Callithrix jacchus: one gene and its partner. The protein of the gene in region 1 interacts with the protein of each later gene in a pairwise test. Links are inferred from orthologs where the notes say so. Each region holds a gene or a part of one and is shown in the gene's direction. Other genes may lie near its edges.

Region 1 (5,759 bases):
TTTAGAGAACACTTGTTTCACAACTTATTACCAGATTTGCATAAACCACTAATTACAATAGATACTGGGCTCTATTACTTTGATAGCAGTAATAAGTTATTAAGAATGTATATAAAAATTTATAGTTATTTTAAGGCAATTATTTCACGGCCATTCTAGTGTATCATACCTTTGTGGAAGATACCTTTGGTCTAAGAAAAGTTTTTGACATTATAAACTGTAACAGTTCCCATCCGTAGTATAGGACCAGTAATACATTAAACTCTAATTCACCTAGGGGAAAAAAAAAGAAGCCCTCAAATGAAAAAGAACTGTAAATACAGAATTATAGTTATAAATGTATACTGATACAATCAACAACACAATAAAGGCTCAATAATTAGTGAAAACAGTCAATTTAAGTGATACAGGAAATCAAAATTCTAAAATAATTTTACTTTTAATGACTATAACTGGATAAATAAACTACTTGTGGTGTTACAAACGGAGTTTTTCACATGAACTCAATGACGTATTTGAGAAAAACAGAAAAAAAAAATTCACAAACTGTTCTACTTACCTTTTGTCATTAAAATCAGGCAATTCTATTTGAGTAGTTTATATACTGAAAATTAAAGTTTTCCTTATTTCAAATTACAGTTGCAGTTCTTCATTTCCAACATTTCCCAAAAAATAAAATACAATGAATTCACTTGCTGTGGACAAAGAATTTAAATCTTACTGTAAAACTGTTTTCATTTGATCATGTTATTAGAAAATTTCTTAGTAACACTGTTTTTCAATTGTGTTTTCAAATTCTTAAACCTTTATGCAAACTAGTGAATTCAACAATTTTAAGTTAGCCAGAAGAGAATTTTAATGCCTACAAATTTATACACTGGAAAGTATACTGAACTATTTTACAGTTTGGAGCACACATCGCCTATAAACACCCCTACGTACTAGAAAACAAATTGCTGGCCTTTCGTCCCAAATCGTTCACGGTTAGACTTTGACGTTTCAAATGGTACACAGTTGGTAAAAAAACAAACAAAACATTTGAGTAAATATAGTTTGTAGCTCGAAATAAAAGATGCAGACTGTTGTCACCGTCAGGACTCTATTCACTCTTTGAAAACAAGATTGACAATTACCTCCTTTTAAAAGCAGGTAACTGTCCCTGAAGATGCCAGATTCCTGAAATGAGATGTCAGAGGTAGACCTTCAAGACTATTCCTAGCCGACCCACCACCACCCCACACAGTGAACAGGGAATACTAAGGTCAAATATTCGTCCAACGTAATCCTGTAATCAGTAGGGTGCCGGGTTGAGCTCGCAAATCCCCGCTGCAGGACTGGGCTCTGCACCCTCAATCTTCTCATCCCCAGATGGGACGGGCGGGTCAGGAGGAGGAGCGACGAGAGCCCAAGAAGGCTTGAAGGCAAAGATAGACTCGCGTCTCTAAGACATATACATATTATAGCGGCAGCCGCGGCGGCCTTACGTTCCCGGAGCTGCATTCCCTTTTCGGCGAAGAGCGGAGGCGAACAGGATCTACCCCGAGTGAAAGGGTAGCCACCTGGCCGTATCCGGGCCTCTCTGAGGTACGGCCTCCCGGGGACCTTTCAAAATGGTCGGCGCATCCGCGACGCAACCGAAGGGCGGGGCCCGCCGGAGTGTGTGACTTAGGCATCCAGCGCACTGCCTGACCCGAAGCACCGACCCGAGTTATGCCCACCCTTCAACTTTGCGATGGAAACGTGTTAGGGAAAGCTAGGTAACTAGTGGGCCGCAGCTGGGCCGCCGGGGCAGGCCGGGGACGCCGCGGTGGGCCTGGAGGTCCTTGGGGCCCGTGGGCTCTCACTGCCGCCCGCCCCTTCCGGCTCCTCCCCGTAGTGCAAAGGGCGCTTGAGCGAGGTGATCGGAGCAGTTGCAGCGAGGACCATGTTGCTTCCGAACATCCTGCTCACCGGTCAGGGCGCGCGGCCGGGAGGGGCTGGGAGGGGGCAGGCGAGGTTTGCGGAGTGCTCTGGGCCTCGGGCCCCGCTCAGTGTTCTGTTTGGAGGCCTCCCGAGGGCCGCGAGGCGGCTGCAGCGCCCCGGGAGCCGACCCTCACGGGCTTGGCAGGAGGTGGGGGAGGGGATGCGGAACGTTAATTCCGGTGGCCCGAGACTTCCGGGGGAGGAGGAGAGAGGTCGGCAGATCAGCTCTCCTGCTTGGCAGTCTGCTTAGTCTTTCTGAATCTGGTATTTTGTGTGTAAAATGGGTTGTTGATTCTTTGGCAGGGTTGGCTTTGGGATTTTTAGCGAAATAGTGTAAGGTCACATCTGTTCTCCAGTAGAGCCATTAATGGTGGAGGCCTCACTCCTTAGGCCTCCCTGGGCCATATTTTATTTTTTCCTTTGCTCCTCAGATCAGATTTCGGGAAATGACTTTAGATGTTTGTGGTGTGACTAAATTACTGTATGCCTTTGTTGAGTTACATCAGAGGTTCTCCCCAGCCCCTTAAAGGAGAGGAATCTAGTGAGCATTTCGGGTCGTTTCTCGCGTAGGAGTGGGTCTTTGAAGCCATACTCAGGGTGCGTGTTACCGGTGAAGGAACTAAAATGCTGCTGCGTAACGACTTCATCGAATATTTTAGTCCTTAAAGTGTTTATTAAATTGTAGACCATTCGTGGAAAAATCTAATGCATGTAGATTTTATTGGAACGTACCGAAAAATTAAGAGTCGGTGGAAATAAAGCAGTAAAGTTACAGCGTTCATCTAAACATAAGATGATTTGCAGCGCACAAGACATGTCTGTTTCTGAGAGGTGCCGATTAACCAGGCCACAAATAATGTTTAGCATTTAAGATTTCTTAAGTGGAAGATATCACATCTTTTTGCATGGATCAAACATAGTGCCTTGGTTATTAATATTGTGTCATTGTCAAAACTTTAAAGTGAGCATTTTATTGAAAACATAATTGAGTCCAGGGTTCAGACTTGGTGAATTATAGTGGACTTGAGGTAACTGTTAATCTCTTCCGTGTGGGAACTGGATTATCCCTGTTATCTTTATGCTCAAGTTTAATTTCAGGGATGTTAAACCTGAATAGCTGAAAATTACAAATTTGATCTTGAAGTGTAATTATAATAGGTATCAAAAGGGGAAGGTAAGAAGCAATGTATAGTATGTAGTATTGTCATTTATGTAAAAGGGAATATATGTTGTATTTATGTATGTATATACAAAGTATGTATATACATGTACATTCATATGCAACATAAATAGGGTTTCTCTGGGAAGATATACATGTATGGGAAACTGGTTCACAGTGGTTGTCTCTAGGGAAGGGTGCAAGGGGTAAGACTGCTTACATTTTAACATGAACAGTTTTTGTTTTTGTTTTGGGACAGTCTCATTATGTTGCCGGGGCTGGTCTCGAACTCCTGAGCTTAAGCAATCCCCCTGCCTTGGCCTCCCAAATTGCTGGGATTACAGGCATGAGCCACCACACCTGGCTATGAACAGTTTCTTAATCTATTTAAATTAAAGCAAATATGCCGGATGGGTGGCTCATGCCTGTAATCCCAGTACTTTGGGAGAGGGAGGTGGGCAGATTGCTTGAGCTCAGCCTAGGCAACATAGCGAAACCCCATCTACAAAAATTAACCAGGGCATGGTGGTACACACTATGGCCTCGTCAACTGGACATGCTGAGATGGGAGGATTGCTTGAGCCCGGGAGGTTAAGGCTGCAGTGAGCCAAGTGCCACTGCACTCCACCTGAGCAACAAAGAGATATCTTGTCTTTAAAAAAAAAAAGTAAATAAATGACTGTAATTGATTTGAGGTGGTTAATTTTATTCTGAACAGTTCCATGGTAGTAGCAGGCAGTTTGAATCTGCGACAGAATCTGCTGAGCCTCACCCTTGAAGGATCAATAACTGGGTAATATTTTGACATTCAGTTAGCTTTGGAAAATTTTTATTAGATCATAGACATATTGAGGTGGCTCATGCCTGTAATTCCAGCACTTTGGGAGGCTGAGGTGGGCGGATCACCTGAGGTCAGGAGTTCGAGACCAGCCTGGCCAATATGGGGAAACCTCGTCTCTAAAAATTCAAAGATTATTAGCTGGGTGTGGTGGCAGATGCCTGTAATTCCAGCCACTCAGGAGACTGAGGCAGGAGAATCACTTGAATCTGGGAGGTGGAGGTTGCAGTGAGTTGAGATTTTGCCACTGCATTCCAGCCTGGGTGACAAGAAGGAAACTCCATCTCAAAAAAAAAAACTTACATATGATTGCTAATTAGAAGATTTTTCATTTCATTCATTGAGAACCTTAAGGGCAGAGACCAGGGGAGACTCTGTCTCAAAAAAAAAAAAAAAAAAAAAGGGCAGAAGGTGGGCTACAGTGTGATGAGTAGTATTTCACAAACAATATTTTTCTGTGGCTTATCTTACAGGTACACCAGGGGTTGGAAAAACCACACTAGGCAAAGAACTTGCATCAAAATCAGGACTGAAATACATTAATGTGGGTGATTTAGCTCGAGAAGGTAAGGGACACTTTGATGTTAGATTTATTATTATTATTTTTTAAAGTCTGATAGCGGAGTGTTAGTGCTAGGTATTGTCAGAGGGTACAAAAAACAGCTTGCCATTAAAGAATATATACTCTTAGGTAATCCACAGAAATATTAAGTGTCTAATGCTATGTCCTGGTTATTTTGACCATTTTCCCTTCTGTCTTCAAAATGGCTAGCAATTCTTGTGAATTGTTGGGAAGGCTCCTATGAAGAGACTGGATTTAGGATAGGTAGAATGTGAATAAGGAGAATGTTTTTAAGTTGAGCAAACAAAGGTTTGGTACTGCTAAACATGTATATGAGCACAGTGAGTGTATTGGTCTCACTGGAAGGAGATTATTTTGAGTTCAGGCATAGGACATGACTATGCTATCTTAGATTAGTTTGAGATTTGCATGCAACTGCATATATTGTAAGATGATAGATGTTATTTATTTTACCCTGTTTTCCCCTAATCTTTTATTGCTCCCTTATTTGTGTCTTCATCTTTTTATAGTCAATGATGATTTGTACATGGTAGGAACTCCATAAATTTAAGTAAAGGGACTTAAAGTATGCCTCATTAAAATTGAGAAAACATAGTTTGATTTTTTTAAAATTTTTTACAGTTAAATCTATGTTAATAGATTTAAACATTTTTAAGTTCCTGACAGTTGCTACTAAAGTAACTATTTCAGATTGATCTAATGTACATATTTTTTTCAAATGATCTAAAGTCTGATCATCGGATATCATGGAGTCTGGCAAGATGGCTTCTCCCAAGAGCATGCCGAAAGATGCACAGATGATGGCACAAATCCTGAAGGATATGGGGATTACAGAATATGAGCCAAGAGTTATAAATCAGATGTTGGAGTTTGCCTTCCGATATGTGACCACAATTCTAGATGATGCAAAAATTTATTCAAGCCATGCTAAGAAAGCTACCGTTGATGCAGATGATGTGCGATTGGCAATCCAGTGCCGTGCTGACCAGTCTTTTACCTCTCCTCCCCCAAGAGATTTTTTATTAGATATCGCAAGGCAAAGAAATCAAACGCCTTTGCCATTAATCAAGCCATATTCAGGTCCTAGGTTGCCACCTGATAGGTATTGCTTAACAGCTCCAAACTATAGGCTGAAATCTTTACAGAAAAAGGCATCAACTTCTGCAGGAAGAATAACAGTCCCGCGGTTAAGTGTTGGTTCGGTTACTAGCAGACCA
Region 2 (5,753 bases), on another chromosome or scaffold:
CACTGCACCCTCCACCTCCTAGGTTCAAGCAATTCTGCTGCCTTAGCCTCCCGAGTGACTGGGATTTACAGGCACCGTCATGCCTGGCTAATTTTTGTAGAGACAAGTTGACTAGGCTGGTCTTGAACTCCTGCCCTCAGGTGATCCACCTACCTCAGCCTCCCAGAGTGCTGGGATTATAGGCATGAGCCACCTCGCCTGGCCTATTAAGTGAATCTTAATCTTTTTTTTTTTTTTTTTGAGAAAGTCTCGCTCTGTCTCCAGGTGCCAGGCTGGAGTACAGTGGCACGATCTCAGCTCACTGCACCCTCCACCTCCCAAGTTGCTGGGACTACAGGTGCGCGCCATCACGCTCAGGTGATTTTTGTATTTTTTAGTAGAGATGAAGTTTCACCATGTTGGCCAGGATGGTCTCAATCTCTTGACCTTGTGATCCATCCGCCTCGGCCTCCCAAAGTGCTGGGATTACAGGCGTGAGCCACCTTGCCTGGCCAGTCTTTATCTTTCTTAGTACAGGCGTATCCTTGTGTCTCTTGAAAGCAGTTTACTTTGATTATTGCTTTTGCCCGGGTCTAAAGACAAGGCTTTAGTTAACTTGAATTTGGTATTAGATACTAGCAGGAGTCAATGCCTTCTTTAGATAATTACAGCCTATATTAGTTTGCTAGGGCCACTATAACAAAGAACCACAGATTGGGTGGTTTAAACAACAGAAAAGTATTTTCTCACAGTTGTAGTGGCTAGAAGTCTGAGATCAAGTTGTCAGAAGGGACCAGGCACAGTGGCTCATAGCTGTAATCCCAGCACTTTGGGAGGCCAGGGCAAGCCTATCATGATGTCAGAAGATCGAGACTATCCTGACCAACATGGTGAAACCCCATCTCTACTAAAAATGCAAAAATTAGCTGGGCATGGTGGCGGGCGCCTATAATCCCAGCTACTTGGGAGGATGAGGCAGGAGACTAGCTTGAACCCAGGAGGCAGAGGTTGTAGTGAGCCAAGGTCACACCACTGCACTCCAGCCTGGTGACAGAGCAAGACTCTGTCTCAAAAAAAAAAAAAGTTTACAGAAGAGTTGGTTTCTTAGACCTTTGTTATTTATTGGCTTCTAGATAGCTGTCTTCATGTTCACATGGTGTTCTCCCTCTCTTGTTTTAAGGATACCAGTTATGGATTAGGGCCTACCCCAGTAACTTTATTTACCTTAATTACCTCTTTAGGGACTCTATTTCCAAATTCAGTCACATTTTGAGGTATCAGGGTTTAGGACTTCATCGTATGAATTTGGAGCAGACGATGATTCAGGCATTTTAGGGCCCATACCTATTTTGTATTATCATTGCTAGTTTTTTTGGTTTTGAAAGCTTAGAAAGTGCATGGCAACATTAGACATTTATTCCCTAGAAATGGAAGGTGTAACTTCAGAGACCTATTCACTTTGAGAGAGTTCCTTGTCTAAGAAAACCCACAGAAAACTGGATGCAGTGGCTCATGCCTGTAATCCCAACATTTTGGGAGGCTGAGGTGGGTGGATCACCTGAGGTTGGGAGTTCGAGACCAGCCTGACCAACATGGTGAAATCCTGACTCTACTAAAAATACAAAAATTAGCTGGGCATATTGTCAGGCGTCTGTAATCCCAGCTACTTGGGAGGCTGAGGCGGAGAATCACTTGAACCCAGGAGGCGAAGGTTGTGGTGAGCCGAGATCATGCCACTGCACTCCAGCCTGGGCAACACAGTGAGACTCTCAAAAAGAGAGAGAGAGAGAGACAGAGACAGAACCCAAAGACAGTCTAGGACAGTCAGATGCTAGAAAAGATTTATTCGTATTGTAGATCTTAAAAAATTCATCGACAGCAAGTAAGGGAGTACATAATGGAAAAAGCCACTGGCCTGCTGTTTCCCTGAGATTCCAGATGTGCTTTTGCAGATGTTCCTCCTTCCAATCTAACCTCCCTTGTCTGCTTCCCCAGTGAGGTCATAAGCAAATATTTGTGTTAGTTTCTTGTCACCATGGTGACTAAAGAAGCTCAGCATGGTGCTCCTTCCAGCTTCACTGTCAGCTGTGCTTGAAGGAGAGGCTAGCGTCCAGGACAGCCTAGGCTCAGTCATGAAAAGCCACGTGTCAGGTAAATAGGGGACAGCAGTTCACAGTGCTGCCTTTAGAAATCTGTCCTCTACCATGTTAGTCTCACAGGGATAATCAGGCCTCAAAGGGAGTGCAGTGGCACAGACACAGCTCACTTATAGCCTCAACCTCCTGGGCTCAAGTAATCCTCCTGCCTCAGCCTCCCAACTAGCTGGGACTGCAGGTGTGTACCACCATGCCAAGATAATTTTTGTATTTTTTGTGGAGATGGGGTTTCACCATATTGCTCAGGCTGCTCTGGAACTCCTGGGCTCAAGCAGTCTGCCCACTTTGGCCTCCCAAAATTCTGGCAATATAGGCTTGAGCCCAGGCTACAATGCCAGTTTAAAAAAAAAAAGAAAAAGATTATTCCAACCTGGCCAACATGGAAAAACCCTGTCTCTACTAAAAATAAAAAAGTTAGCTGGGCATGGTGGTGGGCACCTGTAATCCCAGCTACTCAGATTACAAGAAACTCACTCAAGAAAATCACTTGAATCCAGGAGGCGGAGGGTACAGTGAGCTGAGGTCGCACCACTGCACTCTAGTCTAGGTGACAGAGCAAGACTCTGTCTCAAAAAAAAAAAAAAACTTCGTGGTAAAATGTATGTAACAAAATTTTTCATTTGAGTGTACAATTCAGTGGCATTAATTACAATTACACTGTTATGTGACCATCATCACCAATATCTATTTCCAAACATTTTACTGCCTCTAACAGAAATTTTTTTTTTTTTTTTTTTTGAGACGGAGTTTCGCTCTTGTTACCCAGGCTGGAGTGCAATGGCACGATCTCAGCTCACCACAACCTCTGCCTCCTGGGTTCAGGCAATTCTCCTGCCTTAGCCTCCTGAGTAGCTGGGATTACAGGCACGCGCCACCATGCCCAGCTAATTTTTTGTAATTTTAGTAGAGACGGGGTTTCACCATGTTGATCAGGATGGTCTCTATCTCTCATGATCCACCCGCCTCGGCCTCCCAAAGTGCTGGGATTACAGGCTTGAGCCACCGCGCCCGGCCCAGAAATTCTTTACCCACTAAGAAATACCTCCCTATTTTCCTTTCCTCTCAGCACCTGGTAACCTCTAAGCTACTTTCTGTCTCTGAGTTTGACTCTAGGGACATCAAGTAAGTGAAATAAGATTTGTCCTTTTGTGTTTTGCTTATTTCACTTAGCATGTTAATTTCAAGGTTTGATCATATTGTAGCATGTATTAGACCTTCATTGCTTTTTATGGCTGAATGATATTCATGGTATACATATACAGTAGTCCTTTTCTTATCCAGAGGGAATATATTTCAAGATCCCCTGTAGATAGCTGCAATGGCAGATGGTACCAAACCCTATATACTATGTTATTTCCTATACATACATACCTATGACAAGGTTTAATTTATAAATTAGGCCCAACAAGAGATTAAAAACAATAATAAGAGAACAGTTATAACAGTATGCCAGCATCATCACTCTTACACTTTGTTAAGTAAAATAAGGATTACTTGAACACAAACCCTGCAATATCTGCTACGAGCTGGCAGTGTATATAGTGTGGATACACTGTACAAAGAGATGATTCATGTCCCAGTTGGAATAGAGCGGGTTAGTGTGAGATTTCATTATGCTACTTGGAATAATATGAAATTTAAAACTTATGAATTGTTTATATCTGGAAATTTCCATTTAATATTTTCAGACCACAATTGTCTATGGGTAACTGACACTTTGCAAAGCAAAACTGTGAATAAGGGAGGAATAGTATAAGAGTACAATTGCTGGATTATATAGTAGTTACGTTTAATTTTTTTAGAAACCACTATTCTGTTTTCCACAGTGGCTGTACCATTTTCCATTCTTACCGGCAATCTACCAGGTTCTAGATTCTAGCCAATGTGTGCTTTTATTATTTTTATTCCATCCTAGTAGGTGTGGATTAGTATCTCATTGTGGTTTTTAAAACTTTTTTTTTTAAAGATGGAGTTTTGCTCTTGTTGTCCAGGCTGGGGTGCAATGGCGTGATCTCAGCTCACCTCAACCTCCGCCTCCCAGGTTCAAGTGCCTCAGCCGCCTGAGTAGCTGGGATTACAGGTGTGCACCACCATACCCGGCTAATTTTGTATTTTTAGTAGTGGGGGGGTTTCTCTATGTTGGTCAGGCTGGTCTCAAATTCCCGACCTCAGGTAATCAGTCTGACTCGGGCTCCTGAAGTGTTGGGATTATAGGCGTGAGCCACTGTGCCTGGCCTAAAACTTTTTTATTTATGTTTTTCAATCAGCTTTCTCAGGTTGAGTCATTGTAACTCTACCTCCTGAGTTCAAGTGATTCTCTTGCCTCAGTTTCCCAAGTGGCTGGGATTACAGGTGCCGGTCACCGCCACACCCAGCTAACTTTTGTATTTTAGTAGAGACGGGGTTTCACCATGTTGGCCAGACTGGTCTCAAACTCCTGACCTCAAGTGATTCACCAGCCTCGACCTCCCAAAGTGCTGGGAGTACAAGCATAAGCCACCGTGCCCAACCTTGATTTGTATTTCTCTAAGGACTAATGATGTTGAACATCTTCTCATATGCATATTGGCCATTTATATATGCTTTTAGAGAAATGTCTATTCAAATTGTTTACCCATTTTTAAATTGGGTTGTCTTTTTGTTCAATTGTAGAAATTCTTTATTCTGGATGTTAAACCGTAATCAGATACGTAATTTGGAAATATTTTCTCTCATTCTAGAACATGTCTTTTCACTTTCTTGCTGGAGTGCAGTGGTGCGCTCTTGGCTCACTGCAAGCTCTGCCTCCTGGGTTCAGGCGATTCTTCTGCCTCAGCCTTCCTAGTAGCTGGGACTACAGGTGTGTGTCACTGTGCCCAGCTAATTTTTTTGTGTTTTTAGTAGAGATGGGGTTTCACCATTTTGGCCAGGCTGGTCTCGAACTCCTGACTTTGTGATCCACCTGCCTTGGCCTTCCGAAGTGCTGGGATTACAGGTGTGAGCCACCATGCCTGGCCTTCACTTTCTTGGTAACATCTTTTGTTGTTTGTGCTTTTGGTATGATGTCTAAAATTCCGTTGCCAAATTCAAGGTCATAAAAATTTACCCTTATAGTTTCTTTTTTTTTTTTTTTTTTGAGATGGAGTTTTGCTCTTGTTACCCAGGCTGGAGTGCAACGGTGTGATCTCGGCTCCCCGCAACCTCCGCCTCCTGGGTTCAAGCAATTCTGCCTCAGCCTCCCAAGTAGCTGGGACTACAGGCAGATGCCACCACACCCAGCTAATTTTTGCATTTTTGGTAGAGACGGGGTTTCACCATGTTGACCAGGATGGTCTAAGTCTCTTGACCTCGTGATCCACCCGCCTCGGCCTCCCAAAGTCCTGGGATTATAGGCGTGAGCCACCGTACCCGGCCCTGTAGTTTCTTTTTAATTTTTTTTTTCCCTGATGAGCGGTCAGACTGGATCCTCCATAGTGTCTTCTAAGCGTTTTGTGGTTTTAGATAATATACTTAGGTCACTGATTCATTTTGAGTTCGTTTTTTAATATGGTGTGAGATAAGGATCCAACTTTATTCTTTTGCATCTAGAAATCTAGTTTTCAGCACTGTTTGTGGAAGGGGTGGTTCTTTCTCCACTGA

What was found. The genes of interacting proteins can lie anywhere in the genome.
Region 2: the proteins of TAF9 (region 1) and KPNA6 interact in binary tests that used the Homo sapiens proteins (3 or more experiments, as listed by UniProt). The link is inferred for Callithrix jacchus from reciprocal best matches to the Homo sapiens genes TAF9 and KPNA6.

What each region holds. Positions count from the first base shown.
Region 1 is NC_133503.1:140,123,538-140,129,296, forward strand, and holds the start of TAF9 (transcription initiation factor TFIID subunit 9), read left to right. Parts: upstream 1-1,687; 5' UTR 1,688-1,757; exon of another isoform or gene 1,758-1,924; coding exon of another isoform or gene 1,925-2,174; intron 2,175-3,839; exon of another isoform or gene 3,840-3,914; intron 3,915-4,432; coding exon of another isoform or gene 4,433-4,525; intron 4,526-5,271; 5' UTR 5,272-5,288; coding exon 5,289-5,759. Other genes in the region: cell cycle checkpoint protein RAD17, read right to left, coding at 170-273, 560-569; AK6 (adenylate kinase isoenzyme 6), read left to right, coding at 1,925-2,174, 4,433-4,525. UniProt on the Homo sapiens protein: The TFIID basal transcription factor complex plays a major role in the initiation of RNA polymerase II (Pol II)-dependent transcription.
Region 2 is NC_133508.1:68,746,610-68,752,362, forward strand, and holds the start of KPNA6 (importin subunit alpha-7), read left to right. Parts: upstream 1-2,033; 5' UTR 2,034-2,036; coding exon 2,037-2,130; intron 2,131-5,753. UniProt on the Homo sapiens protein: Functions in nuclear protein import as an adapter protein for nuclear receptor KPNB1. Binds specifically and directly to substrates containing either a simple or bipartite NLS motif.